Linked DNA regions of Neodiprion lecontei. The protein of the gene in region 1 interacts with the protein of each later gene in a pairwise test. Links are inferred from orthologs where the notes say so. Each region holds a gene or a part of one and is shown in the gene's direction. Other genes may lie near its edges. The genes, in order: WD repeat and FYVE domain-containing protein 2 and PRA1 family protein 3.

Region 1 (3,934 bases):
GGTCATTTTCAAGTCTGGATGTAGAGCTGAAAATTGATTCAAATAATCATTCTCTTCTTCTTTTCTAATTCGCGAAGACACGTTTCCGAAGTAATTTGAGGGACCAGCCTGCAAAGTGTCCTCATCCAACAGGTCTTCATCTCTGTTAAATCTCAAATTTTTGTTCGATGGTCTATTTGACAAATCGCCTCGTACTTTGTTTTTCAGGAAGTATAACGATGATCCCACTTCTGTCATTGCTGAATAGACTTGCTTTTCTCTCATCTCTTTACCAGCTAAGGGAGCATGTGTTACTTCTTTATGATTTTTTTCGTCGACGAATTCCTGATAATCTTCTGCCGTTGCATACAATGACAGAGGTACTCTTTTAATTACAAGTTTCTCAACAATGTAATCGCATTCGTTTGGGTTATATTCCTTCAAAGTCAACCTTCTCTCCCGCTTATGTCTTCGGCAGCAACTTAAAATTGAAGCCCAATTAGTGGATCCATGACTGGAGCATGAAATATCGTCGAATATTCTACTCCGTTTTGTGTTGCTGGCTGAGAACGTAGATTCCAGTTCTTTAACTTTTTTTGCGCTCATAATAGTAGATCAAACGCTAAAGATTACATCACCGTCACTGCAGATTGTAACATACCTAATCAGACTTATAATTGCCATTGTACGTAATCATCTCGGTTTTTATTACGAGGCCAACTATGATGCAGCTCATCACGCCGGCGTGGCGAACAGAATTATTAGATTAGAATATGTGTTGTAAAGAAACTAAATCTCAAATATCGGTTATCAAAATTTGGCGCGTAAATTGGTAATCAAACAAAATGTCACTAGGCGAATATGGTATTCTGAAATGCCGAAAATAGCTGATAACACGGAAAATTCTCTAGGAGTGAGATACAGCGGATACAGCATGGAGACTAGGCTAAAGAAGTCCCATCTCTGTACATACATTTGATCCGGCATCAAAAATCCATACACTAAGGTTTGCGCTGGCTGACGCTGAACAGCACTGAAATCGCAAATATCCAACGAATGGTGAAAAGACAGAAGTAATTTCATTTTAGTCACGATCGATGTATGTATATAGTCAATTCTTATCAACTTCACCTCGGAATATTACAATGACAGCGCTGTTCTTAATGAAATCTAAAACCACTAAACGACAAATTTTCGAGGACAAATTTTTCGCATGCTCCTCCATTAGAGATGGGTCTCCTTTTTACTCTAGTCTCCCTGGGGTACAGCCTTAGAATGCTCTGAGGGTACAGCATCAAAATACTACATGCTTCATGGAGTAAGAAAGGGAACATTATTGGAAGTGCTGCCAACTAAACCAGCGTACTGATTCATTTTACGAACCATCGGCAGGCTTGAAGGTCTTAAGATATTCTTAAATCCGCGATTGTAGGAACTGTCGAAGTCTGACAACTGTCAAATGATAATCATACAGGCGAGGTTACGACATTAAAAAAATTGAAATGGCAGCTGAAATTAAACCAGCACCGGGTGTAAACAACGAAAGATTTAGTACGACTCGAAAACCAATTCTATTATCGAAGCTAGAAGGTTGTAATGACGACGTGAATGGGGCGATAATCATACCCCGAGAAGACGGTGTTATCAGTATTTGCGATGACAGGTATGCCCCTTCAACCCCAAATATTACGCATTAATTATTCCGCATTGTACTGTACAGTTCAATCTGCTTCCGCACTGTATAATCGAAAATCTTGTAAGTGAAGATTCGAGTCTTTCCAGTCTTGATCTACATTATTCGTATTTCGAATGTATCAAGAAAAATTCGACTTTATCTGTACTTCAGCCTTTTCACATTCTTACTTACGTTTTCTCGAGTTGCCACATACAAATATTGTTAGGGTAGAGACATTTGCGCGTTCGACCAGTTCATTAAAGGCAAATAGTTGAGTCGCGTACGACCGTATTTTTTGTGTCCCTAAATAGCGTCATGTCAAATACGTCCCTGTTTGTTCAATAATAATGATCAAATCATGAAATAACGCTGGTGACTAAATTACTCGTATAAATAACTGGCTACATGAGACCTTTGTTCGTCTACTGGCGCGTTACGGCTCTGCCGAATTTGAAAATATGGACATCCTAACCTCTGACTAATCACAGAAAAATTACTTTTAATCTTGCATAGCTTATTAAGGAAACTAGTAACCCGATGATTTGTTACTATATTTTGAATCATCACAAACTTGAGAATACACCGCTTGTTTTTGATCAAATTCTGTGGTTAAGAAATACCTTTATTTTGCCAACAAAGCCTTTCAAAGCAATTCTTCCTTGTGTCCAAAACTCGATTTTCCATCCTTTTTTTCCCTCTTAGGTTGATATTCTGTTCTGTAATTTTAGTGTATGAAAAAACATACTCTTCAACTTTGTTTACAAATTGTTATAAATCTTTGTTGTAAATTTTTTTTCTCATGTTTTGTGTCTTACCAGGAGCTACCTTAATATACGGCAATCCTGAGTGAAAATCATCGTTTTACAATGACAATTGCCTTGCATGAAAAAAAAAATAACTAAACACCATTTAATATAACAATAAGAATTAATGTAAAGCTTTTTTCGACTCACATAATCCAAAAGAATTTCAATTCATTGAATTTAATTACAGCTAAATAATCGTTACTTTGTCAATTTTTATTTTGAACACCAATTTTATTTTTGTCTCTAAATTGAATAATATTCTTCTATAGCAATTCCATTGATGTCCTTTTTCATTCAAAAATATTGTTTATTGGATGTAATTATTTTTCCTAATTTTCGATTTCTGTGCAGGACCGTCAGAGTATGGCTAAAACGCGATTCAGGGCAATATTGGCCCAGCGTATGCCAATACATGGGTGCTGCTGCAACGGCAATGCATTATTGCGCAGAAACGAGACAGCTTTTTGTCGGCTTAGAAAACGGAGCTATTAACGTATGTAATTGAATTCCACAAACAATATGAACTCTATAAAAGTTTTCTCAACTAAACTGTCCAATCAGTTTATCTTCCAGAAAATATTGAATTAGTTCTGACGCTTAAATTTCATGGTATTTTCATGAAGAAGAATGAAATTCAAAAGAAAAACCTCAGATATTTAATACTTTAATCGATATCCTTGTGTCGCTTATTACAGTCCTTAAAATTATGGTGAAACATTGTTTCTAAAGTGATTTATACTCACAAAATAGAACAGAACTGAAATTCTTTAAAAGAATTTATTTATCAACTACGTGAAAATACCTTGAATACCAGGATTGTCTTGTGTTGTTTATTCCCTGGAATCCCAAGTTTGGGAATGAATTGTTCATATTCTTCAAAGGATTTTATATTGGAAACTGACTACAACCGCATGACTCCAATGAGAGAGTGCCTTTCTCATCAAGGTCGAGTTACTGGAATTATATTCGCTTTGAATTGTGAATGGGTACTCAGTATCGGCCGAGATAAGCTTTTTCAATTTCACTGCTCAGAAACCGGACATAGGCTTGGTTCTTTTCAAACAGATGCTTGGTTCACGGCATTGCAGTATCCTTTTGCATTGATTTTTTGATTATAAAGAACACGCGAATCGATTAAAATAAATTTGATCGGCAGTGCTCGAAGATCTGATGCAAAAACCTTGACGTAATCACAGATTTGCATCATTGACCAAACATGCTTTTGTCGGAGATTATTCGGGACAGATATCGATGCTCAAATTGGAGAGCACTGGTGCTACTCTAATCACCACTCTGAAAGGTCATACAGGAAGTATCCGCACGCTCGCCTGGAATTCTGAAAAAGATCTGTTATTTTCTGGGAGCTTTGACCAAAGTGTTATTGTTTGGGACATCGGAGGTTGCCAAGGCACTGCGTACGAACTTCAGGGGCATCAGTATGTATTTTTTGTCAAACCAAATTATGCAGATCACA
Region 2 (3,934 bases), on another chromosome or scaffold:
ATCCAGATCAAGTAAAAAAAATAAATGGTATATTTGTATACAATATTACAAGTTCTGGGCAAAATAAGGCACAATGGAGTGAGTTAATTTCTTCTCTATGTCATGAATAAAAAATAGAACAGGGTTCAGTTTTAAATAAATCGTTCTTTCAGCCCTTGATTTAAAGAAAGCTGAAGTTTATAAAGGAGAACCGAAATCTGGAAAGTCTGATACAAGTTTAACCATTGAAGATAAAGATATGGTTGAAATTGTAAGTATATTTGAAGAAGTATTGCAAATCAATGATTCTTAAACGATTTTTTTCCCACTATTTCCAGGCACTTGGTAAATTGAATCCACAAGTGGCTTTCATGCGTGGTAAATTGAAGATTAAGGGAAACATCATGTTAACACAAAAGTTGAAGACACTGCTCGACGCTAACAGAGCTAAGCTATAGTTTTCAATACAATTTTAACATCACAATTGTATCGTTACATCAATTTAGATGATTTTTTTCCTACCAAGTACTTCAATTTAATCTTCCCAACTAGTTATTTAGTAATAATGAATAGTGTTTAGATATTTTCAATATTTTAGCAAACGCAAAATTGCTCTGGGCATGCTCTGGTAGGCCATGAAATTTCACAATAGTGAAAAAATATAGAAATTGTTTATATTTTAAAACGATATGCATTTATAATTCCAAGGTTGATTATTCATGGGTCAAATACTGTTATTCCTTCTTACTAATTCCTGTTGTCAACTGCTAGAATTTATCGATATAGTACAGAATATTCAACAGATGTGATGCGTCACTTTTTGTCTGCTCGGATTTTTTCGTACAAAATGACTTTCGTAATATAAGGCAAAAAAATTATGTGAAACAAATTATTAACATATTATTACCGTTACAATAGATGGTAGTTGACAGATGTATTATAATCATGTAAATAACGTGTTTTGTGGGCTGAATGGTGAGTCAAGTTGAAAATTTGACTGATTAATTTGTATATTTTTCATACCTATACGTTATTACTACTGGCGGGATGATGGGCGTTCAATAAATATTTACATTCTTATATTACCTTGACAATTTTTCCAACTTTCATACGCACTTCATACTTTCAATATATTTTATTTTGGCATATAAAAAATTATCGTCGCTTACTCGGATATTTTTTATTTAGAGCAACTGTGATCCTGGAAATCTAGGAGTTTAAAAGTATAAACGGGCGTTCTCCTCAACTCGATCCAGAATTGCGAAAAAGACTTTTAATACCAGGGACTTGCAAACCAAAAATTATCCTTATGTATCTCATTATTTGCTTATGTAAATTTTATTACAGTTTAAGTATCAAATATTCGCGCTGCTTTCGACAGATTAGCAAAATATGGTGGCGACATCTTTTAGCTAAGAATAAAACTTGATATAAAAAAATCTTAATATGTATCAAGTCCCGATTTTGCAGTTCATCCTCCGTGGCTTCCTTTCTAAGGTATCTTCTTTGTTCGTGATTGTTTTATTTAGATTGCAGCAGTTCAGGAACTGCAGATACGTGACGTTAGTGACCTATCCTTTCATTTGCGGTCAACGGTGACGAATATTCGCTGCGACGTTCGGCGAAAAAATAAAAGTTTTTCAAGATATTGAAATTACAACGAAATATTGAAAGCAAGAATTACCTAAATCGAGGCAGTTCGATCCTCCGTCGAATATGGAGCGGTCAAAGATTGTGGGTATAGGAAACTCCGAACTCGTCATTCCTCCCCTACGGGGTCTCGACGATTTCCTACTGGAATCGGCCCGGTTCCAAATACCGAATTTCAAGGATCTGGACAAATGGGGAAACCGAGTTGTCAACAATCTATTTTACTACCAAACCAACTACTTCTTTATGTCCGTCATCATTTTTCTTATTGTCGGGTGAGATCACGTTCTTATTGTTATACTTCCCATATATCATACATCGATACGAATTTGTTATTCATGATCTATTAATAGCTGTGTCTAAACTTTGAAAACACCGAAAATGTTGATATTCGACGAGTTTCATCTTTTCTAGATTTGGAATGTATAACTGACGATGCGTTTTTCATTATTTGGTTCCAGCCTTATCCATTTACTATTTATATACATTTGTATTCCAAGCATATGTAACATACACTTTTTTTTGTAGGCTGATTCATCCTGTGAAAATGTTGGTCGGTGCTGTATCAATGAGCGTTGCTCTCGGACTGTTTGCCTATGCATCGTGCGAGGGCCGAGCCATTCACCAGACAAAAAAAGATTATCCTGCTCTGGGTGTTATTTTGATTCTTATTGGAAGTAGTTTTCTTGCGTACACAGTTGGTTCCCTCCTCGTATTTCTGATCGGTATTCTTCTCCCTTTCTCTGGTAAGTAGAATATGTTTTTAAACTCTTTGCCTTGTGCAATATTGTCTCTAGATCAGGAGTGTAATTCTCACTTCCTTTGTTTTTAGTGACTTTTATTCACGCATCGATGAGACTACGAAACATCAGGAACAAGCTAGTGAACAAGATGGAGGAATTAGGACTAAAACGCACCCCGATGAGCATATTTTTGGAACAGCTCGGTATAGAGCAAGAAATCTTTGCCTGATTGAATACTGATGGCGATATTAACAATCGTCAGACTACGTTCACTAAGTTGTTTCCTTAAATTAGGGTAACGTGCAAGTCCTAATAGGCGTTGGATTTTGGAATGCCCCTATGATAACTTTTCAATGAATTTTTCTTCGTGATTTAAATGAATATATAAATATACGGTCGTATTAAATACTTATACTGCTCGTGATTTCACTCGCGCTTAAATCTTTGATAAAAAAAAAAGCTATTTCAGCTGTCAAAGAATCCAACAATGAGCTGTGAACTAATTTATTTCAATCTAGAATTATCTATACGGCGTAATTTGTAACGCGAGACATCGTTACCCCGCTTTGCCTAGCTTCTTTACGCGTAATAGAACGCTGTAGTTTATTCGGAAAATAAGTGAGGAGCGAGGATACGTTATGATAGAAACCACAATTTTCCGAATTTAACAAGACGATAGTTGATTCTTACTGAATTTCTTTGTTCTGTTCTCGATGGAAAATATTGTTTATTTTTTTCGTGATCATGAGTGAACGATAATATTTTTATATAATCGTATAACATAGATATGTAGATATATACAAACAGTTATTGAGGCGTTTTTAACATTATTGCCTTAAAAAAAGACAGAATTTATTTAGAGACTTTTCGGTGTCATTGTTTTTTACGTTTTTTTTTTTAAATTTGTTTATTGTATGTATAGGTATATATATGTATATTAGTGTTTAGTAAACTCACATAAAATATTGCGTGTTTAATATTACTAAATCAGCAATGTCCAAAACTATCTAATTATTCCGCAGATGAATTGCTATGTCAGAAAATCTAACAACGAGCTGAGCTCACAATCCTTTGATTTTTCTGTAAGCTTATGACTGAGGCTACAGTTTGTATATACGTATGTATATATGCAAAATATATATACAATATCTTTGCCTGAAATAAATTTACGATAGTAAAAGATCAAGCCTATCGTATTGTTTTCGATCATTGTTCAGTCGATGAAGTGAAAATCGCCAAAAATGCTGATGCACATTCCGTTTTATTCCTCGATATTCTTCGCCATTGTTATCGTTAGAATCATTCGAGATTACTGGTGACAGGAAGTGAAATAGACAATTAGAGATTTCCATAAGACTCAAAGTTTTCGAATTTTTTTCTCCGAACGTTTTCTCTGAATGTGTCCTCTTTTGACGAGTAGCACCGGGTTCAAAGAAAATCTTTAACTCGGGATTTCACGTTCCAGGATACCCTATGCAGACCGTCGGAATACCGAAGTCGAGGATCAAGCAAGAGCTACATGAGTTCGTTGCCGATAGTGCGAAGGGTTTCTCATTTAAACG

What was found.
Region 2: the proteins of WD repeat and FYVE domain-containing protein 2 (region 1) and PRA1 family protein 3 interact in a two-hybrid assay, tested with the Caenorhabditis elegans proteins (2 studies listed by BioGRID). The link is inferred for Neodiprion lecontei from reciprocal best matches to the Caenorhabditis elegans genes wdfy-2 and praf-3.

The regions. Positions count from the first base shown.
Region 1 is NC_060261.1:12,356,505-12,360,438, reverse strand, and holds the start of WD repeat and FYVE domain-containing protein 2, read left to right. Parts: upstream 1-1,350; 5' UTR 1,351-1,481; coding exon 1,482-1,642; intron 1,643-1,702; exon of another isoform or gene 1,703-1,735; intron 1,736-1,911; exon of another isoform or gene 1,912-2,026; intron 2,027-2,811; coding exon 2,812-2,953; intron 2,954-3,341; coding exon 3,342-3,547; intron 3,548-3,656; coding exon 3,657-3,896; intron 3,897-3,934. UniProt on the Caenorhabditis elegans protein: Plays a role in coelomocyte endocytosis.
Region 2 is NC_060264.1:30,500,415-30,504,348, reverse strand, and holds the start of PRA1 family protein 3, read left to right. Parts: upstream 1-1,479; 5' UTR 1,480-1,695; coding exon 1,696-1,904; intron 1,905-2,157; coding exon 2,158-2,375; intron 2,376-2,461; coding exon 2,462-2,575; intron 2,576-3,837; coding exon 3,838-3,934. Other genes in the region: peroxisomal multifunctional enzyme type 2, read left to right, coding at 1-78, 153-250, 318-437.